Linked DNA regions of Saccharomyces cerevisiae S288C. Changing the gene in region 4 together with the main gene of any one other region gives a genetic interaction. Each region holds a gene or a part of one and is shown on either strand. Other genes may lie near its edges.

Evidence for each region.
Region 1: mutations in PBR1 (region 4) and UFD2 together harm fitness more than expected from each alone (negative genetic interaction), as found in Saccharomyces cerevisiae (3 studies listed by BioGRID).
Region 2: mutations in PBR1 (region 4) and CCH1 together harm fitness more than expected from each alone (negative genetic interaction), as found in Saccharomyces cerevisiae (2 studies listed by BioGRID).
Region 3: mutations in PBR1 (region 4) and EDE1 together harm fitness more than expected from each alone (negative genetic interaction), as found in Saccharomyces cerevisiae (3 studies listed by BioGRID).

What each region holds. Positions count from the first base shown.
Region 1 is NC_001136.10:118,176-123,437, forward strand, and holds UFD2 (ubiquitin-ubiquitin ligase UFD2), read right to left. Parts: upstream 3,418-5,262; coding exon 532-3,417; downstream 1-531. Other genes in the region: 60S ribosomal protein uL29 RPL35A, read left to right, coding at 1-342; RBS1 (Rbs1p), read left to right, coding at 4,041-5,262. UniProt on the Saccharomyces cerevisiae protein: E4 ubiquitin chain-elongation enzyme specifically involved in polyubiquitin chain assembly.
Region 2 is NC_001139.9:922,971-930,737, reverse strand, and holds the start of CCH1 (calcium channel protein CCH1), read right to left. Parts: upstream 6,043-7,767; coding exon 1-6,042. Other genes in the region: GPI1 (phosphatidylinositol N-acetylglucosaminyltransferase), read left to right, coding at 6,276-7,767. UniProt on the Saccharomyces cerevisiae protein: Voltage-gated, high-affinity calcium channel that functions together with MID1 to mediate calcium entry into cells. Required during conditions of environmental stress.
Region 3 is NC_001134.8:127,380-133,741, forward strand, and holds EDE1 (Ede1p), read right to left. Parts: upstream 4,662-6,362; coding exon 516-4,661; downstream 1-515. Other genes in the region: RRT1 (Rrt1p), read left to right, coding at 1-231; PSY4 (Psy4p), read left to right, coding at 5,045-6,362. UniProt on the Saccharomyces cerevisiae protein: Functions at the internalization step of the clathrin-mediated endocytosis (CME) as an early-acting scaffold protein. Requires clathrin adapter proteins, ENT1/2 and YAP1801/2, for normal spatiotemporal dynamics and viability.
Region 4 is NC_001146.8:296,358-300,103, reverse strand, and holds PBR1 (putative oxidoreductase), read right to left. Parts: upstream 1,770-3,746; coding exon 546-1,769; downstream 1-545. Other genes in the region: Rho family GTPase RHO5, read left to right, coding at 1-450; chromatin-binding/pre-rRNA-processing protein IPI3, read left to right, coding at 2,477-3,746. UniProt on the Saccharomyces cerevisiae protein: May be involved in lipid metabolism.

The DNA.
Region 1 (5,262 bases), on a different chromosome or scaffold from region 4:
GAACTAAGAACCAAATCCAAGGAACAATTGGCTTCTCAATTGGTTGACTTGAAAAAGGAGTTGGCTGAATTGAAGGTCCAAAAGTTGTCCAGACCATCTTTGCCAAAGATCAAGACCGTCAGAAAGAGTATCGCCTGTGTCTTGACCGTCATCAACGAACAACAAAGAGAAGCTGTTAGACAATTATACAAGGGTAAGAAGTACCAACCAAAGGACTTGAGAGCCAAGAAGACCAGAGCTTTGAGAAGAGCTTTGACCAAATTCGAAGCTTCCCAAGTTACCGAAAAGCAAAGAAAGAAGCAAATCGCTTTCCCACAAAGAAAGTACGCTATTAAGGCTTAATTGGAAGTTCAATTATATACTATCATTATCTATAGTTCCAACTTTTCTACGTTTTTCTAGCACCTTTTAAATAATTGTTAAATTAAAACATTTTCATCGAAAATCTTCAAAATATAAGACACATTGAGCGATGAAATAAGCCTTATTTGATTAGGGTCAATTTTGCAATTTATTCTATCACTTATTCATTCACTCGCTTGCTTTATGTTTTGCTTCTTCCTTTTTTTGTTTTTTGAAACAAAGAATCTTTTGCCTTAACTCTTCATTAGGTGTTACATCCTCTAGTTTTAAAGGCATTCTATTAAACGGGTCAGTAGAGTCACTAAGCAGATGTGCTTTGATCGTGCTTCTATCAATATTCATCTTGGATGCTGGTAAAATGACAGGATCCTTCATAATTGTGTACATCAAAGGATCTAAGAACTCGTCAGGAACATCACCATACTCAAGATCTTCCTCTTCATCAGCCTTTCTTTGCTCTTCGGCTTTATTGGCAAAGTTCAATAGTTTTTCGATGAACTCTGGAGATGCTAAACCAGTTTTTCTACCAAGAATATCAACTGCGCGAACAAAGAGATTTCTATTAAATGATCTTTCATCTTTAGCGACAGCACTGATGAACTCTGATTGCTCGGAAAGATTGATATAAACAGTTGTTAAGGCTTTCAACAAATCTTTTGGGTTGAATGAATAACTTTGTGGGTCTTTCACTTTTAGTTCCCCGCATTTGGGACCGACAAGTGACTCTAAGTTATAGTTTAGCATACTTGCCAGTCTATATACGATTTCTGGTGTGACAAATGCAGCCGGTATATCCTTCGAATAGATTTCGAACAGTTTCATCGATTTATCGGCCAATCCACACGAGGACTTAGCTTGCCTGGAAGCAGACGCCAATCTTGTTTGTAGTTCTTTGTCCTCTTCCTCTCTTGTTGGTGGCGCGCCCCTTGCACGATTATCCAGCTCATTTTGGATATTATGCACCTCAGCCAAATTACTTAGGCCTTCATCCAACAGGAAAGTCAAGTCATTCAACATACGAGCAACGAACCTCACAAAAAAGTCAGCATTGTTTTGAGACTGCCAGATCAATTGGTTTTTATAAGATGGTATCTTGTAATAAAGCTCCTCCAAAATTATTGATATGCTATATCTGCTGTTGAATTTATCGTAAAATTGTGAAGAAGAGCCTGTTTTTTCAACAATAACATAAAAGTCTAGTAGAGCATATAACAGATTCTTGTTAACTAATTCGTCGTGTTCGAATATATCCATCATGAATCCGGGGGAATTGTCTGTTAGAGGCATAGCACCAACGCTTAATAACTGCACTAATTTACCTTTTAAATGTGGGTTGGAAACCAATTCAGGACAACGGAGGACCATTGTTGTAAACTCAACAAACGATCCCAGACGTGGATTTCTGAAGATTGGAGAGGTCTGGTACTTCGAAATGTATAGAGAATAGTTAACTGGACCTTCTACAACAAATTCTGGATAGTATTTAAAAGGCACTGGAGCATGCGCTCTCAAAAAATCAGCGTTGTCCACGTTTTCAACACCTATTTGGTCCGGAATTAATGGCAATTTAATTTGTTTAAACGGAAATTCGTGTTCAGGATCCACAACACGAATCAAGAACGTAGATGCACCACAAATAAAGTCGAAAACCTCTAGTTGAAGAGATCTATGAGCGAAGAACCCTTGAAGAGCAAATCGCAAAGATTCTGTTGTTTTCAACGCCTTCTCCATCTTGGATAATTGTGCTGTAATGAATCTGGCAAAGACATCGTGGTTCGCAGCTATTTTCTTTACTTTTTCAATTTCTTCCTTTAACGCTTTGATTTCAGATCCCATCTTCTCTTCAAATGATAATGTACCTCCCAGACCATAATGCAAATAGGTTAATGTCAAGAAAAAGCAATCAGAGATGAAGTTTGGCTTAGAATCTGCTGTTTTTCTGTTCTTGTCATAAAATGCATCTGCCTCTTTAAAATCAGAATTTAATCGTGTTTCCCCTGATAAATCAATAAATAAACTTGGGTTGTTGAAGTAATTTGCGTCGATCTTGTCGATTTTCTTATATGAAATATCTAGAAATGGTTGAGAAAATCTAACCAATAACAAAGTGATATTGGACATAAATCCGTTAGAGGATAGTTCTTTGAATGGTGGATGATCGGCTCTACGTAAATGGTTTTTATTAGCGATATGGGCAAAATAACTAATCATATCAGTCCTTGAGTTTAAGGAGCCACGAACAAGCTTATCGACAATAAAAAAGAGTCTATCTATGACAACTTTATGCTCAGCTTGTAGAGATTCATGGATCATGGCTGTCTGTTGTTTGGAACGCAAAAGGTTATCGCCGTAGTTCCGGATTGCCACAGCAGCTTCTATGGGAGAAAGAGATAAAATAGGCCCCAATATCGTTTTCCTTTCAAAATCCTGTGGTTTACAGCTATAGTCTGCAAAAAAACCATCTATTTTAGTGAATATTTCTGCAATAGGTTTAAATGTAACAAATAACTCAAAAATGGTAAGAACGTTATTGTAAATTACAGATTCGTTCAAATCAAAATGGCTGACATGTTTATTACAGTATTCTAATAATGTCGGGAAAACAGCGTTAAGTAAATCCAAAGCGGTACCTTCTAATATGGCTCTTTGAATGATTTGGGAAAGGAAATCAGTATATGAGTTAACGTTAGAAACAATTCCAGTGATATAATTGATGAAAGCACCATTCATGCAAAAGTTTTCTATTTGTAAGGCAACGACACCATAGCCAATGACAAGACGATCAATCTCTTGGAAAGTGGAATGTAATGACTCAGCATTTGGCTTGTTTTTGGTGATTCTTTTTTGTTGCTGATTACGGCGAAAGCAATCGTTCAAATATTCAAACGGTTTATCCAACTTCTCATTCTCGGTGAGTTGATATAATAGTAGCGTATCAATAAAATCAACTCCAAGAGTTGAGCCTTGAGGCACTTCCTCGGACTTCAATAGAGAGTAGCCACGGGTATCGGAAGGATCGGTGGTGATTTGTAAAATATCTTCTATGGCGGTCATGATCTATGGAATGAGGGTTCTACTTTCAAAGTTAACTTTTCCCCTTAAACAACTTGTGGTCAACTTTACCTTTCTATTGGCTGACACAATTCTCAAAGATATAATTAACGTTTACTGTGGCAACAGCAAGTGGTTGAGTCTAAAAATGTGAATAAAATGGCAATTACTTAATGATTAACAATGATTGCGGCGTACACCTCTATTATTTTGTTGCCAATGGTTAGAATCTACCTTTGATCTTCAATTCACCTTTTGTAATAAAGACAGACTATCGCCTCTGACGAATACTGACAAAATAGCGTCCTCGACGAAAGGATGAATCGTTAAGCGCAAAATAATATTGATATAATAAGAATATCGATTAAGAAGCGTTGGCTAGTGTCATATGCGGGTTAGCCTATCTGTTTCTTCTTTCTTTCACATACAACTCGACAAGTTTTGGCGTAGGCAATTGAGCCATATTGTACCAGCAAGCCGTGGTGACAGTATGTTGAAACGTGCATCTTATAATGGGCGCACGATTTATTTTATTTTAATTAATTTTTTAGTTATTTCGTATCGTACTAACAACTAAGATATTCAAGTCTCTTCAAGTATATAAGGAGTTAGGGCAGAAGTAGGTGATGACAGCACTAGATTCTCGAAACTGGGGATTGACACCCGCTATGGAAACGGGCTTGTTCCAGAAACCACAGGACCGTATCTTTATAATAGAGCTGGAAAATTCCATAGTGTCATTCATAAACTCAAACACAGAATCATTTCAGCTAAGACCGATGAATTCATATTATAGGCTTCTATCGCACCAAATAGCTGAGTACCACAACTTGAACCATGTTTTGGCAAGAACTCAAGATAGTTGTGTGATTCTTTTCAAAGGTGAGAATTTCCAAAAGATTGAAGGAAAGCCACTCTTACAAGAGTTGCAGCTGAACAAAAAACCGGAAGAGTGTGCTTCCTCAAGTGAGAGTATTGAAAAATCGAACAATAACAGAATATTTCGAATCTTAAAGCGGAAAGAGGTAGGTAACGAGTGCGATTATAAAATCGATGGCAATACACGTACACCAAATAGCAATTTGACAGCCAATTCAAATAAGGACCAAAAAATCGAAATCGATGATAAATCTAGTACTGATTTGGAACAAGAAAGAATTGAGAAGGAAAGACTTTATGAACAACGTAAACAAGAAATTTTTGATAAGCTCAACAAGAGTGAAGACGATGTAAAGTCAACCAACAGTAGCGGTAGTAGTGATAGTGACAATGAATGGAGTGATTGGTTGAACGGAGATGACTCTAACACACAAACTAGTAACGGTTCAGTTAGCTCTTCATCACCATTCAATTCATCTGTGACGACGATACAAGTAAACAAACCTCAACAACAATTTTATGATAGTCGAAGAGGAAGAGGAGGAAGAAGAAGAGGAACAAACAATTACAAAGATGCCTATAGAGGCCAAAGTCGTCGGAATAAAGAAAACGGCGGTTACCAATCGGGATATTCTTCGCCATATCTTGTGTATCCTCCTCCCCAAATGGGTGGCAATAGTCTGCCAACCTACCCTCTAATGTATAACCCCGCTGGTCCTGCCCCCGGTCCTGCACCTTCACCCATGGTAATGGGCAATAACACAGTCTTCATGAACCCTTACATGTACAATATGAATCCCCAAGGGTCCTGTTCGTTTGGCACCCCAATCCCTATGTATCCCCCATACCAATATCAATATCAATACCAATATAACACTCAGTATCACAGCGGGCCATATAGCAATACACCAAGCTATAATTCTAACAATTACACAAGATCCTCAGCAAATAAGTACCACCATTTTCAAG
Region 2 (7,767 bases), on a different chromosome or scaffold from region 4:
ATTCATTCTCGGAGACCACATAAAATTGTTAACACCGTAGTCCATTCTAGGTGTCGCAATAGGTTCTCTTTCTAAAATTCCTGGAGCAGGTTCCAGATTTACGTTTATATTCGAAATGTGAGACGATACTGTGGGATCTTTAACATCCCATTCGGGTTCAATGGTACGTTTCATCCTGCAATGAAATTTCCATCTTGTTACCACCATCTCCAATACATCGAAGTTTCTTTGATTTTCTAAGTACTTGTCCACTTTACCCAGGATATATAGATGATGGACATATTGATCAATACCTAGACATTCCCTTGCAGAATAAGCTGTATAGAGAGGTATTTGTAATAACAAATCCGAGAATCTGATACATCCATTATAAGCATTCGTATAGTGAATGCTTTGTACAAATCTTCTGTACTGTAACTTCCTCTGTATGATCTTTGCTTTATCAATCGTATTCAGCTCTTTGTTCAGTCCGATCAGGTCTATTTTGACGTCATATGGATCATCTGGGTTAACCTCCATGTAGTTCTCGACTAGACTTTTTATTGTCAATCTACCTTCCCAAATTTTAAATGAAAGAGGACCGTCAAATGAATGCATTATTCTTGGGAGGTAGGACAGCTCAAGCTCGCCAGTTCCATCAGTATCAAATTTGGACCAAGCTTCAATGTATTTTTTTATCTCCGATCTGTTGATGCCAGAGCGAGATCCACCGCTACGGTAAACATAACTGAAATTACCAATAATCAACGAAACAAACATATTCACAAAAATATACATGGAAATAATATTCCACGACATTAATAACAAATAGGCATATGTCTCTGATCCACAGTCCGTATAGGTTGAATTATCATCAGAGGAGCAATAAGGTTCTGACACAGTTAGGTCGGCCATGATATAATTCCAGCCCTCACCAAAACTACATCTAAACAGAACAATCATGGATTTGATTACAGTTCTAAAATTTATGTTATCGGTCGTATTACTCCCTAACCTTGTTAGGCCGAAGATTTGATTCAAAGCAATAGCATATACTAAAAATAAAACCCCCCAAGTGTAGGTCAATGATAGAATAGGCGGTAAGCTTGCCATTGCGGTTTCTAATAGTTCAGTTAGTGTGTCATTTTGAGGAATAATAAACAAAAATATCACTAACAGGAAAAACCCCTTTATATTGTGGAACCAATAGTGAGAGGCTGGAACGTGGAATGCTACAGCGTTCATAATAAAGGCTATAATTATGATACTGAGTCGTATGCTGTTCCATTTTTGCCTAAAATATAATCTTGGTCCTTCACCGCACATGTGAAGTGCCTCTTGAATTAAAAAAACACTAGTGGAAAACATAAAATAAACACCTTGATAACCTATCAAGTTTCCTGGATTGTAGCTTCGACTCAGGAGCATGATTATGTGCAAATAAAGTACTACCTGAAGAAACGATGCGTAGTAGAAATTTTTTTTCTCCACTGCAAGTTGATAGAAAAATTGCCTAACTCTTGATAACTCAATTAAATTTGGGATAGCTTTTGGCTTGGCCTGAGATAAAAGTTTCTGGGATTCCAGCCACGCCTTTTCCTCAATGGTAAAGTAAGCGCTTCCTGTTGTCCTTGCTTGGTTGTTAACAATGAATGAAACAAACAAGTTCAGGATGAAAACCATACTTAAAAAATTAAACAGAACGAGGAATAAAGCATTCCCTGCTGAACCCATTACCGTAGCGGGTGTACCTATTCCTGAACTATTCATCATATTTTCCAACAAATCAACCCATCCTTCCAAAGAAATGATTTGGTATAATGAACTAAAAGCGCTTGCGAAAGAGTCCAAATGAAGATATGGTTGCTGGTAAACCCTTGGAGACATGATATCCCATTGAAAAACGGAATTTGAATATTCATTGTAACAATCTGCACGGCCCAAACTTCCGTCATTGCAAGTACCTAAACGGCCTTTAAAAATGCTTAAGCCCCAAACTGTAAATGGAAATAGCAAACTGAGTGAAATCAACCCAGCTTCAAAAATTTTATTTAAACCATCAAACATAACTAGGTTAAATGTTTGACGAGCTGTGTTACTGATCGTGAGGCATCTGAGGGCCCTCAGGGCTGTCAATCCCTTGAAAATCCTAGACAAATTTCCATTGTTTTTTAGGTATGCAATTAAATTAATCCACATTGAGATTAGGACACAAAAATCAATAAAGTTCCATGGATTCCTCAGGTAAGCATTTGGAGAATATATAAATCCGTCAGCTACTGTTTTCACGATAAATTCAATTGAGAAGGCACCAATGAAGGCGCAATCTAACGCCGAGGACCAATTCCAAGTTCCCATCTTGTGATGCATACGATATAGAGGCGTAACATAACATGAGCAAACAATTAGTAAAATGGTGGCAAGTGCGAAAATGAATACAAATACATCTCTTTCAATATGATGAAAATAGCTCCTTTTATTGTATAGATCAGTGCTATCCTCGAAAAATCGTGATCCATCAGTCCTTTTTCCAGTGCTTGGTGGTACCAAGCGTTGACAGAACCTTCGAAATCTATGCTGAGGAGAAAAGAAATAATATGAGTAATTGAATAAAGGGTACTTTTTTAAATAATCTAGCTTCTCATCCTCGTACTCATTCAACTCCAAGATATACGTCCTCCCATTTATATCGTTCGTTTCTGTAAACACAACGTCACTATTTTTATAAAATGGATTATTAGCAAACATTCTCAGCCTTTTTAGTGACGGAACCCCAATTGTGAGCTTTGATAAGCCCTTTTTAAATAGGTTTTCTGAAGGTGGCTCTTTGAATTCATCGGCCAACTCCCCCATATTCTGCGCTATGTTCATTATCGCGGTTCCTCTCATAAGAAATTGCTTAAAATCTCTTGTATCTTCGTTCCTATGACCTCCAAAGAATTTTTTACGAATTCTCGCAACCAAACTAGCGTGTGTATATTCTTGTATTTTCTGAGGATAGACGAACTTAAGATAATGCTTAATTTGCTGTGGTCGTTTTTCTTCTTCTTTCACTTCCATGCTTTCTGATATTAGGGCAATGAAAATGTTCAAGATCACTGAGTTGGATAGTAGAAACCATATAATAAAAAATACTGAGCAAAAAAAAGTTGAGGAGATGTTTGGTGAGTGTTTTTGGAGGGCATATAGGATATCCGTCCAATTTTCAGTTGAACCTATTATAAACAAAGAAAGAAATGAATTCGGTAGTGAATACATTCCAAATGGCTGGTCTGCCATTTCTTCTGGAGGAATCACGCCTTCGAAATACACAGCCATGATTATAGCAACCAAAAAGGTGAAAAAAAAGTAAAAAGACGATAAGTTCCAAATCATAACACCATTACTCAATATTTGTTTCCATAGTTTTTTTGTTAAATTGAAAGAAATAATCACCCTGTAAAATCTGGATATGTGGAATATGGATAGCCAGGCATACATATGTCCTAGAACCCCTTCAACAGCCAGGCAACTAATAACCAGAGTAATAATTGATATAATAAAATCGTAAACGTAACTAGGTTTTGTTAAAAACTTCCACATATTGGGCAGATATAATACTAACCTTGCCAGTGATTCGATGAAGAGAACAATCGAAATTCCCCTGTCAGTTTTTAGAAGGATATTGTTACAGTTTGCCGAAGTCGATACTTTAACAGAGGCGCGCATACCTATATCGCAAATAATAAGTATGACAAAGATAAACTCAACGTGGGAATAAATAGCTAGTCCTTTTTGGGACCAATTTGGGAATTTTGTCTGATTCGCCTTAAGCTTAAAATATTTCCAGTAGCCTGTTACTATGCGAGCAACATAACCTGTCTTTCTAGAACCATATATGAACTTTTTCTTTTTGTACTCCTCATTGGCTATTTCAAAAGATGATACCAACACTGCAATGAGTAGATTTAGCAGCCAGATAGTTAAAACAAAGATGCAAACAATAAAAAACAAACAGGCAGCCATTTCATCCGAATCCATCGTATAGTACATTAAGTCAGTAAAAGTATTCGCACTCATAATGACAAAAACGAGCTCCATGGAATTAACAATATTATCAAAACTAATTCTGCCGTTGTAGGGGTTGGCATTGGAAACACATTTCGAATATTGTGGGCAAAGAAAGCCTTTTGAAACAGAACCTTCTGATCCGTCTTCATAGATATAATTTTGTTTTCGTTTTGTTACTGGATCTAGGTAACCACCACAGAATTGCATATCGTACTGGTAAGTATCGGTAGGATCTTCAGGGTTAAACCATACACATTGTCTTCGAAAAGAGCCCTGAAAAATCTGTACTCCCAAAATCCCAAAGAAAATCCAAAAGTAAACTAGCATTGAACTAACATTTACCAACTGTGGGATACCATATTTCAATCCCCTTAGAATTGAGGGCATACCAGTATCCACGTTTACAAGTCGAAGAATCCTTAATATAGCAAGGGGCTTGAATATTCTTATGCCTGTTTTTGTATCATAACTTTTTATGGATAAAAACATACCTAGCCAAAAACTGACAGAAGATACCAGATCTATTCTATTCCACGATGATCTCGCAAAGGCTCTTGGGGTGCCAAAAGGCCTCTGATTTTCCTTTGCCCCATAAGGTTTCGTCAGGGAAGTACTCAACGAACTTCGTTGATATTTTGTCTCTTCTCCCGGCGATATGATCCTAAATGGAATAATGAAATCTATTAGCTTTCTACCATACTTTTCTCTCAGATATATGTATAGTTTCATAATTCCAGATCTCTGTAAGATTGATTTATACTCACGTCCATAGGCTTTAAACATTTCAGAATCGTCCCAAAATCCAAACGCAATTATTTTAGCAATATCATTGCCTGTAAAGCAAGCTGATAAAATAAAAATGAAATAGTCGGTCCAGTTAGAGAAACGGTATAAAAAAACCACATTGTGAGGGTTATATGTCCTTATCGCCAGGAGAATGGCATAAAATGTTAACAAAGTGTTGTAAAGTAACGAATACCGCCTATGCAACAAAAAACGAGCAATTTTTATTCTTAGCGGATTCGTAGGCGAGAAAACCCCAAGAGAATGTCCATAAAGCACAAAGGGCCTTGATTCCAGTTTTCTTTGAAGGGTTTCAAAATCTAGAATGTCTTCAGCATACTCAATAACTTCTGTTTGGTCTTTATCTTCTTTTTGCGGTGATAAATGATGAAAAAACTTTGGACTGGGTTTCTTTCTTGAATTATTAATAGAGCCTTCTAGACCCTCAGATACCGAACCATTCTGCGCGGGTTCGGGTGTTAGATGAATTGATCCTGGAGTAGCGCTTGCTCCTACATTGGGTGTATGAACGTCAGGTATAGATTCTTGTTCTCCTTCTCCTCTATCTTCTCCAACGTCTGATACAGGACGGCTTTTTTCTGATTTTAATTGGGGTAGCCATGTCAGGCCCTCTTCGTCTATTGCACTTTTAAATCCCTTTTGCAAATCTTCAAAATCATCCATATCATCAGCGGCAATTAGCGATAAAACCTTTGCCGACCGTGGAGGCCTATCCGTTGAGCTTGGTGAATTAGAAACACGCCTACTAGATGATCGGCTATAACTACTGAAGCTACGCCTGCGTAGCCTTTCATCATTTAAATCAATATACTGCGAACTAGACTTGGCAGATTTTGTAGAGGGTGAAACATTACGCCGGGAAGATTCAGCGGCACCAAATGATGCTGTTTTAAGTGAGAGTTTAGGCCTGCTCAAGTTTTCATGACTACTCCTTCCGACACGAGTACGAAATATGTTGGAGATTAAGGAGCTATCTTTATCATTTCCATTGTACTCGTCACCTTTTTTTTCTTCAGTACTGTGGATGCTGCTCTCTGGTGGCACGATATTTAAAGCTGGTGGGACCAAAGCTTGTGGTTTTGATTCTAGACGGTTACCATCTGTTTCGCTGTTATCCTCAACATTTTCCGTCATTACTGCTGCATTGTCCCCAAATGGATTGGTATTTGGCTCAAATGGTTCCGTAAGCGTCCTTTTTCTCCCCTGCATAGTACTAACAATATATTCTATTTAGTAATGCCGTGTATTTTGATTTTCCTTATGTTAGCTTGTCACCAACCATTGATTCATGATCTTCTATCTCATCTATATTTATTTTCAGTGAGAATGCCGAAATGTAGAATATGAAAAAAACCTACCAGAACATAATACCAAAAAGAATGAAAATTCCTCTGTGAACAGGAACCTTCGAATTCAGGGGCGGTTTTATACAGTTAAATGACATGCCAAATTACATTTTCTGGCCATACGAATCCTTGTTCGAGAATTCCGCAGCTCAAGGACCTCAGGTAGCTTTGGCAATTTCATTTGAGAAGACGCATTTTGTTGTCTTAGGTGTTTGCGAACCTCAGTATTTAGAAGAAGTAAGCATACGGCCCCCTTATTCAGTGGTAGCTACTAAGAACAATGGAGCGGAGGGTTGGAACTACAAAGTTGCTGATCCCTGTAATGTCCATTTTAGAATACCCAAGCTGAAATTTATGCAATTCTATTCTTCTGATCCCATCTCGCTCATCATACCAGAAAAAGAAGTTGGTCTTCATAGTAGTGTGGGTGAAACTCTGAACTATTCTAAATTAGAGCAACATCCAAGATACAAGAGAGATAATAAGAAATTGAGTGAAACTTTGAACATCATTAATCTATTCCCCGCATATTGTAAAGCATTAAATGAGCTTTACCCGTTTATTCAAACATCACAGGAAAATTTGAGGGGTACTATGCTTAATAGTGTCGCAGCTTGGTGTTCATCTACTTGTATTTATAAAATGGTCGCAAAAATTGGTTTTTATTTGACTTTTGTGATCTGCTCTATTGCTAGTCTCGTATCCTCGTTATTAAATTATTCGCACTTTCAGTTGGTAAATTACTCGGCATTTGTCCAGCAAATCGATCTTCGTTGTCAACAAATTTGCTATTTCCCAGTACAGTATGAGCGTATTAATAAGAAGGATAACATACAGAATGTTGGCTCTATGGTGGAAAAAGATAATTCTAATAGTCAATTCTCACATTCATATATGCCTTCTAAATTCTATCCCGATTATATTTTATTGTATAATACAATTTGGCTTATTATTAATGACATTTCATTTGGTTTAATATTGGGGGCCATACTTATTGAGAATCGAGATTTCTTGGTGTCGGCATCCCATAGAGTATTGAAGTTTTTTTTATATGATTCATTAAAAACAATAACTGAAACGTTAGCAAATAACCCCCTTGGCATCAAATTAAATGCAGAACTTGCGAACTTTTTGAGCGAATTATTTCTTTGGGTGATAGAATTTTCTTATACCACATTCATAAAAAGACTCATTGATCCGAAAACCCTATCATCTTTGCTCACGTTAACGATATATATGATGTTTCTCGTTGGCTTTTCTTTTGCTGTTTCCCTAGCGATTGATTTTTTTGCAATTTTAAGTTTTCCAATATATGTTTTTTATCGTATCAGCAGTAAACTGTACCATTGTCAGTTGAATATTATGGCTAGTCTTTTTAACCTGTTCTGCGGTAAAAAGAGGAACGTTTTACGAAATAGGATTGACCATAACTATTTTCAACTAGATCAATTGCTATTGGGAACATTATTATTTATTATTCTAGTGTTCTTGACTCCCACAGTGATGGCATTCTATATGTCATACACAGTTTTGAGAATGCTAACAATAACTATCGAAATATTCTCGGAAGCTGTCATTGCACTCATTA
Region 3 (6,362 bases), on a different chromosome or scaffold from region 4:
GTTAATTGGGTTTTGGTTTGGTCCAGTTGTTTTCAAGTAGCCTTTATTTTTTCATTGTGGTATTTTATCTTATCGATTTATACTTTTTTTTATTCAAAGAAAATTAAACAGATAATCTCTTATGAGCCTAGCTACTTTGTTTTTTCTTACAGGGCCATTGACTTATGCCCTGAACGAGTCTTACTTTACTTTTTTTGTATTTTCAATAATGTCGTGTTTCCCATGTTGTAATACGCCCAAAGATTATGTGGTAGAGCTTTTTTTTTTTTTGGTTAGTGTATTTACCAAACTGGGATGATTTTCAAAACTTATGAAGCAGTTTCAATACATAACTGTCTAACGTAAAAATTTTATAAAATGGAAAAATAGATGATGATAACTATAACAATTTTAAAGTACAACATATTCTACTTTTAGAATAATTCACAATATACAAGGACGATCCTGGAAAAGGGTAAATATGATTCAGCTTCGAGGAAGAAGTACAAAAAGAAGACGAAATGGTCCATTACAGACTAAGCACTATCCAACAAAAAGTTAGTGGCGGCTTCTAGATCCCAGTTGCACTTTTCCAAGGCATTGTGCGCTTCTTCTTCAGTAAATCCCATGCCACTTAACTCCTCGACGGCTAGAGACTTTGGAGTAGTTGCAACCCCGCGGTTAACTATTGGACCTTTTGACAAGCTAGCATCAACGATAGGATCATTCTTCAATGGAATTGGTTGTTGTGGAATGCTTGGGGTAGCTACTTTGGTTGGTTCAGCTTTGGAGTTACCAAATCCAGCAAAAATCTCGTCCCACTCATCGTTGCTTACTTGAGCAGGGTCACTGGTTGACTGTTGTTGTACTTGTGGTTTTGGGATAGTTGGGTTAGAGGAACTAGTTAACGTCCCTGTAAAAGCGTTCATTTGTAGTTCGTCATCGAGATCCTTATGGTCTATGGTTTCAAATTGCTCCATCGACCCAGCATTCGCAACATTCTCAAATTCAGATTCCGAATCAGCACCATTATCTTCCTCCACAGCCGCTTGTTCTAACCCTGCGAATTCATCATCAAATTCGTCCTTAACAGGCAAAATGGAATTGGTGCTTGCCTTTTTTGAGTTACCTTCATTATGTGAAGGAGAAGTGCCTGGAGCGGGATATTTTATGACTTGTTCCGTGTGGATTTCCAAACTTGATGTGGGCTGGGCATTATAGGGAGTTTGAAGGGTCTTCACTGTTGCTGATGGAATTTCTCTGGTATCTTCAAACTCATCATCGTCTGAAGAGGATGAATCGCTTTCGTCAATATGCAATTCCTGAATTGGTGGAAACTCTTCATTTATTGTCTTTGCTTTTGGTTGAGCAGAGATTTTTGGAGATTCTTGGATAGAACTGACCGACTCACCGTCTTCATTTGAATTAGCCCTTTTTGTGGTACTTCCGTCTTCAATAACTTCTGTAGTTTCGTTGCTCAAAACATCAGTAGAAGCGGTAGCTGGGGTAGCTTCCCATTCACCAGGAATGTGAGATAAGTTTCCAGTATTATCTCTATTCGCAGTATTATTGATGGTGTCACGTTCTTCCAACGTTTCCGGTAGCTCAACATCATCTCTTACGGATTGAGGAGCATTGTTTGCAACAGACGATGTCAAGGATTGACTTCTTGGAATACCATATTCATTCAAATCACCATCAAACCTATCACTTAATGTTTCAGTTAAGTTTGGATTTGCTGTCTCATTTCCTGACTGGGTGCCGTTGTTTGTATTGGCATTTTCACTATCGCTTTGAGATCCCAAAGTTGGAACGTCTCTATCAAATACGTCACTTTCGGTTCTTTCTGTCTTTTCTTCATCGTCTTTAACCCGATTAACATTCAAGTTTGAATTCTCAACAGTAGTTTCGACAAATTTGGATACAGTGTCTTCGTGAACATTTCCTCTTGATGTGGCTTCTTTGGTTGTTGTATCTGTATTAGAGGCGCTTTTCGCAATAATGTCCTTAGCATCCTCAGGTAATTGTCCCATAGCTAAATTCATTTGTCTTTCGGATAACTCTCTCACATTGTTAGCGTATTCGATGTTTCTCTCCTTTAACTCTTGATCAGCTTTTTCAAAAGAAGCTTTTCTCTGTGATAGATCGTCGAACATTTCTTGCAATTTAGAAACGTGCTGATGGTAGAGATTTTCTTGTTCTTCAATTTGTCTGTTACGTTCTTCCAATTGTTTTTCACGGTCCGTTAAATCAGTATCCTTGTTGGACAGATCCTGGTATTTAGCTTGTAATTGTGCGTGTTGCTCCTCCACGGTCTTTTGGTAGTCATTTAACTCCTTTTGTTTAGTTAAGTAAACGCTTATCTTTTCGCCAAGACCATCGATTTCCTTCTGCAAGTTTGCTACTGTGACTTGATTCAACTCTAGCTGTTTTGAATTAACATCTACCATTGACCTTTCTTGCTTGACCTGTTGTTGTTTTTCATTTAATTGTGACTGTAAGGAGGCTGTCATCGAGTTCAAATTCGTAATTTGTTCTTTTAATTCTGCGTTCTTTGTTTGAGATTCTTGCAAATCAGTAGTTAGTTCATTGAGTTTGGACTCAGCGGCATGGTAGTTTGCTTCGGATACAGCCAACTGTTGCGCTAATGTTTCGTTTTCTTTGTTTACTTGAAGTACTTGTGCTTCCAGTTGTTCCGTTTGTTTAACATTTTGGTCATGGGTAGAACGTAAATTGTTCAATTTGATTTGAATGGAATTTTTCATCTCAGTAACACGTTTCAACTCCTGGGTCGCTCTTGACTTTTTGTCATTAGTTATACTTGCCTGCTTGGACAGGGAGTTTACTTGGTTAGATAAATTAGCCATTTCTGTGGTAGCATTAGATAACTGAGCAGAAGCTTCACCATCTGCAAATAAATCCTGGTTCTTGAATGCATTATTGGAAGATCTTGAAAAAGCGGATGCGCCTAAAGCAGCAGCACCCACTGCGGCGCCTACAGCAGCACCAGTGGCAGCGCTAGTGGCAGCGCCTGCTGGCATGCTAAACACAGAAAAGTTGGGAACTTGTGGCAGTGTTGTTGAAGCTGTACGTTTGACTGGACTTGAAGCATGTTTTGGAACTGGCGGAGGCTGAGCGCTAAAAGTATCACTGGATTCCCTTAGTTGCTCTTGTTCCTCTGGTTCTTCCTTGATTATACTTTGACCGAAGTTTGAGGTGGGAGTAAATTTCTTCAATCCAGAGGAGGAGTGAGTTAAAGGTGGAGGCTGCTGTGGCTGTTGTTGTTGTAATGTTGCTTGGCCATTGTTATTATCATATGAAAAACTATTATTTGTGTTGTTTTGAACCACAGTTTGTGCTTTAGTGGGAGAAGGAGAGCTGAATGAAGGGTTCAAAGCCAGTAAATCATTCAAAGAACCGTTATTTGAGTTTTGAGGAAGAACTTGTGGAACTGTTGGTTGAGTATTAACTGCTGGGGCAGAAACTTGGTGTGGCATATCCTGTAAAGAAGGCTTACTTGCTCTTGAGGGGATGGCAATTTGAGGTGCACTTTGTTGTTGAGGAAGTGGGTTTGGCGGATAAAGTCCTAAAGCGGGGGACTGTAATAATTCATTGGGGATAACATCCGGTAATTCGACACCAGCATTCTTTTTTTGAATTAAGAACATGGCAATAGCAAATTCCAATTTGGTGAATTCAGCATTGTTGTGGATGTCAGCTAAGTCCCAGATGGTGGCTAACGTCTCTTGGTTTAATCTAGAGGATAAGAAGAATGGAACCAACACAGCAGAGCTTAGCGAACCAGCATGTTGCTTATCTAATGAATCAAAAATTGCATCAAACTGTTGTTTTTTTTCAAAACTTAAAGACCAATCTGAAGCAGCATTACTGAATGCACCAGTAGATAGACGTGATATAGTAGAGTGTCTTGTTAGTGAAGATACGCCAGTGGAGTTAGCACTCAAAGGAGTAGTCCTGTTTGGTTGATTAACAACAACAGGTTCTAAACGAATAGAATCCCACAGCTGAGTAGGCAACACGGCCGGTGGTGTGTTCATACTAGGATGATGAGACATACATAGTTGGATCAAATACATGGCCATTATAAACTCAGATTTGTCTAAGACACCGGATGCGTCTCTATCACAAAGAGCCCAAATTTCACCTAAAGTTTGATTTGGTAATCTTGCCTTTAAAAATATATCCTTGGCTTTATCACCAGCAACAGTTTGAGCACCCTTTGCTGTCCTATCAAACAGTTGTGAAAATTTAGCAATATCATTTGAGGATAAGGCAGGAATATCAGTGTTGTTTGTATTGCCGGTTGCACTACCGCTTTGCATAGGGGCTGGGTTCTGATTTATAGAAAAAGAAGCCAGTTGAGTAGGTGTGCTCTCATATAGGGCAGCGGAAATTGGTTGGTTGGGAGCATTTTGCAATTGAGCGATCATTCTCAAAGCAGCCGAAAACTCGTTCAAGTTCAAAAACCCTTTATTGTCTATATCGACGGTAGCCCACACTTGCGATAGTAATTGCCCTGGAAGACCAGAAGACGCGAAGAGCGGTCTGACTGCCTCGCCAGTGACCACCCCGAGATCTTCCGTATCCAATTGGTGAAATTTCTGATTATAAAAGGCTTGTTCCTGAGAGGATAATGGAGTTCTAAAAGTAATAGATGCCATGGCCTATATCGTTCGAATCCTATTGAAAACACACAGATAAAAACAGGAAAAAAGATAGATCTAGAGCTTCACGAATCTATTTATTAGTTTCAACGCGCTATATTATTTCGCGAGAACCAGTAATTCTCTATTTAAAAGCACTCTATTGCCTATCACAAAGTGCTCTGTTGTGTGTTGTTTTCAATGTGCTTCTGAAAAGGGGTTTGTAATAGTTGAAGATTTTGATTATAGGAGAAATCTAATCCCCCTCCGAAGCGCCGACGGGTAATGATTGTGTAGTTTTTCATTTCGCGATCAAAAGCATGTATTTTGACACAGCTAACAATACCTATTATCATTTTTTGTTGGTGTTCTCATCGATTGTCAAAGCACAATAAAAAGCTATGAGCTCGACGATGTTGGATGATGTGGATAATAATATGATGGGTATCAAGTCTATCAGCCTTTATGAATTACTTAGCGATGTGGTGAAACAGGGCGACAAGACGCGATTGGTGACGGCGGGTCCCGAGCAAGTTTTGCCTGATTTAATCCGGCATATCACTGAAACAATACCGTTTGACCTATTTATAAACCTTAAGAATGAAATGAACGATGCGAGAAATCTCGTTACTAGATTAAATTGGCTGGGTAAGTTTCTGAATGATAATTTTTTACAAAATCATACATTTCCATTCACAATACTTCGGATATGCGAATTGTGTTATGATCCTTTCAAATATTACAAGATCAATGAATTGGAGAAGTTTGTAAATGCGCTAGAAAAATGTTGCATGGTAACTAGCAGTTGGCAGGTTTTTGATAAAACACACGGTGAGAAGCAAGAGGACGATAAGGAGAAAGATATTAACTTCATCAAGAATCAAGAAGATGTCTCACTAATGAAGATACCGTGGATGACCGAAAACAATACTAGGGAGTTGGCACCCTTTATTAGAGAAATCGACTCTATAATGAGTGTCAACCTAGGCTACGATGACGAGGATGAAGAGGAAGGATTTTTTGATGGTGATGAAGATAGGGAGATGGGGAATAAGAGTAAGCGTAATGTTTTGCTGAAAGATGAAAATTTCATGGTGGAAGAATACTATGAGGATGATTGCGGGATAAACGATGATAATAGCGATAATAAAGGACAAAATTGTCAGAGCGATGTTACGAAGAATAATAGCGATGATGAAGATGACGATGACAACGACGACGATTATCGTGAAGATGGTGCAGATGAAGATGATGAGGATGATGATCACATGGGCAGCACAGATGACGATGAAGATGATGACGAAGATAGGCAGGCGGGCGAAAGTACCAAGGTGCAAAATTTTGACAAGAAAAATGAAACTCCAAGGAAGAGGAAGCCCACAGATTTAGATAACTTTGAATATGACGAATCACCATCATTCACAAACATGGATCTCACGACGCCAAAGAAATATAAACATACCGCAACGGGCAGGTTCTCCATAATAGAGTCGCCATCGTCTTCGCTCCTCAATGCCATGGACGGCAGTAATGAGATCTCATCGAGCCAGGAGGAGGAGAAAGAGGATGCTCATGAAAACCATGAGGGTAGAAGTGAAGGACTGTTACCAGGTGACGAATTAGTGAGTCCATCGATGAGCTCTTCACAAGAGGATAAGATGGTTGCGATTGCTGGTATTACCTACCGTGAGAATATTAGCAGTCCATTAGGCAAGAAGT
Region 4 (3,746 bases):
ATAGATGAACTCGTACAAAGATGTGGGTTTATGGGCTATACCGAATGTTCAGCTGCTACCCAAGCAGGTGTCCGGGAAGTCTTTGAACAGGCGGTGAGGTACGCTATCTACGAACCAGAATCCCCTAACCAAAAATCAGCAAATCATACTCTAACTGATGAATTAACGACTGCAACAACCAACACCAATGGAGATAAAAATATTCGAGAACAAAAACAGCAACCACACCATAATAATAGTACAGATAGTACTCTTCCGAAAGGAAGCTTACAGCAGGAGAAGGAAGCTCTCAATATCAAACCCACAAAAAAGGGACAAAAAGACAAAATTCACGAGCAATCAAAAAGCAAAGGTAGTAAAATTGCCTCAAATAATCATCACAACAAGCAAGCTAAACCAAAGACGAGAAACGACAAGAAGAAAAAGAAGTCAAAGTGTGTAATACTTTAATATCAAGGAGGCAGAAAAAGTAAATAAATAATTACATATACCGATATCATAAATAAGAAAAAAAGAAATCTACACATATATTTACGTTCTCATTTCTAATCATCTTTTCTACTCTTGTTCTGACTCTTCTTTTTAGAATTTTGATTCCCGGTCTTATTGGCATTTCTCTTTGCCGCGACTTTCTTTTCCAATTGTAAAATATCTCTTTCCGTATTATCAAATAGTTTCTTCTGTAATTCCTCGTCATCAAATTCTTTACGAGCAAATTTCACAATTGAACAGTCTGAGATATACTTAACCTTCGTGTCTTTTAAGTTTACTTCCTCCAATTCCGGTGTCATTAAAGCGTACAAGAAACTTTGATCACCACGACGACCACTCTTGGTAAACAGCCACAATATGGGGTACAACAGAATACAGTAAAGTATTATTAACAATACCACCGAACCATTACTAATGACGCGGCGTAGGCTATTTGATCTCATAGTTCCAGGTTGAACCATAGTAATGGTAACATTTTTTCCTGTTCTTTCAGCGCCATTCGTCTTTTGGTTTTTTATGTCTTCGGTAAGTCTTCTTTGCAATTCCATCATACTCAATCCCAATTGTAGCTTGCTGCTTGCGAAAAACTTCAAGGCGCTTTTGTATTTGGCATTTTGCCACAACGGATCTTCTATATTAATATCACCAACAACTTGTAACCAGCAGGTGGCAAGAATTATTCTTACATCTCTATCAGGCGGTTGAGCCTTGAAACTAGGCTGTAATAAGTTTAAAAGATGGAAAATTGCTACATAGTTTGTAGCAATTTGCAATTCCAGCCCATCCTTAGATGATCTCCTCTGTGGCAAAGATATTTTCGGGATACCCCATGGTTCCATATCACCGGACATGACAATAACGCCATCTAATCTTCTAGGTGGCGAATTGTCTAACCAACTTGTGGCAAACTTACGAATCTCCCACAAATTGCTCAAATCACATTTTTCTACAAAAATCAACTCGTTCTTTGTCTTTTCACGTAATTCTTCGCACCATTCAGTAACCCATTCATCTACTTCCCTAGTCAAGATGATTAATTGTGCACCTAACTCTGCCATTTTATAAGCCACGGATGTTCCCATTCCTTGAGAGGTAGCGCCAGTAACCAAGTAAACTTTACCGTGCAACTTTCTTTCCCATGTATTTGATGGCCCTCTCGACCAATATTTAATGGCACCAGTCGCTAGCACATAAGGTGCCACCTTTTTGATTGTTTGATAGTAAGGAATCTTGTCAGTCCCGTCTAGGAGAGCCGTCCCAATAATATTCAAAGGCATTTCTTTTTTTTTCTAAAAATTTTTGTTCTTTGTTTCTGTTCCTCTCCAAAAAAGCCTTTCAGGGCAGCCAGTTGTTTCTGTAAACTATTTTCTCGTAATGTTCTATTACTTATGCATCCTTCTCTCTCTTCTTCCAAATTTTTAAGGCACATTCGATCGCGTCTATAAACTGAAAAGAAACGCGGGCACAGAATGGATAACTGCAAACTTTGATAAATTAATACGGTAAGATACCGTGTGAACTATTATAATAACTGCCACGCTTATAGCATGTACGCTATACATTTACGTGCTGAGCTCCTAGGAAAGCTCATGAGCAGCCACTGTATCGTGGAGCATAACTACAACAAAGAATACACAGCGTCACATAGAGGGTTTTTGAGAGGAGAAGTTGAAATAGGACTTGATCTTGGGGGAGAGGGGATTTGAAAGCACCCATTCAGGAGTATGTGTCTGTAATTGAAGTGTTAGCGCGCGATTCACCTGTAATAAGAGTGATGATTTGATAGCGCCATTCTACATCATATGGCAAATGTTGAAAAACTGTACGCGCGAACTAAAATTTTTTTTTACATCCCACTAAATGAAAATTTTAAATCGATGCCCATTCCAAATATGCTTATTCGAAGGACGGCTCTGACAAGGGCATATGCGTTAAGATTGATTGTTCAATATTCATAAAACAGGATCTTTCAAGGGACGATAAAATGGATGAGCAAGTTATTTTTACAACAAATACCTCAGGAACAATAGCTTCTGTACACTCATTTGAACAGATAAATTTGAGGCAATGCTCCACTCAATCAAGAAATAGCTGTGTTCAAGTAGGAAATAAATACCTTTTTATTGCTCAAGCACAAAAAGCATTAATCAATGTCTACAATCTGTCAGGTTCTTTCAAAAGAGAATCTGTTGAACAGCGCTTACCATTACCTGAAATCCTAAAATGTCTGGAAGTAGTTGAAAATGATGGTGTGCAGTATGATAGAATTCAAGGTGTCAATCATAATTTACCAGACTTCAATCTTCCGTACCTTTTACTTGGCTCCACCGAATCGGGTAAATTGTACATATGGGAGTTAAATTCAGGGATTTTATTGAACGTGAAGCCTATGGCTCATTACCAAAGTATCACCAAGATTAAGTCCATTTTAAACGGCAAGTATATTATTACTTCTGGTAACGATTCGAGAGTTATTATATGGCAAACTGTTGACTTGGTATCAGCGTCCAATGATGATCCTAAGCCTTTATGTATCCTTCACGATCATACTCTACCCGTGACAGATTTCCAAGTTTCTTCTAGTCAAGGAAAATTTTTATCATGTACTGATACGAAACTCTTCACAGTATCTCAAGATGCTACCATTAGATGCTATGATTTGAGTTTAATAGGCAGCAAAAAGAAGCAGAAGGCAAACGAAAATGACGTTAGTATTGGTAAGACCCCAGTATTGCTTGCGACATTTACAACTCCTTATTCTATCAAATCCATTGTACTGGATCCTGCTGACAGAGCATGCTATATTGGTACTGCGGAAGGTTGTTTTTCATTGAATTTATTTTATAAACTAAAGGGTAATGCTATCGTTAATCTGCTACAGTCCGCCGGAGTAAACACAGTTCAAAAAGGTAGGGTTTTTTCCCTAGTGCAACGTAACTCACTAACTGGCGGCGAAAATGAAGATTTGGATGCACTATATGCAATGGGCCAACTTGTCTGTGAGAATGTCCTAAATTCAAATGTGTCATGCCTAGAAATATCAATGGATGGTACATTATTATTGATCGGTGATACGGAGGGGAAAGTTTCTATTGCGGAAATTTACTCAAAACAAATCATTAGAACTATCCAAACTTTAACTACATCACAGGATTCAGTTGGAGAAGTGACCAATCTCTTAACCAACCCTTACAGACTCGAACGTGGAAATTTACTTTTTGAAGGAGAATCCAAAGGCAAACAACCTAGTAATA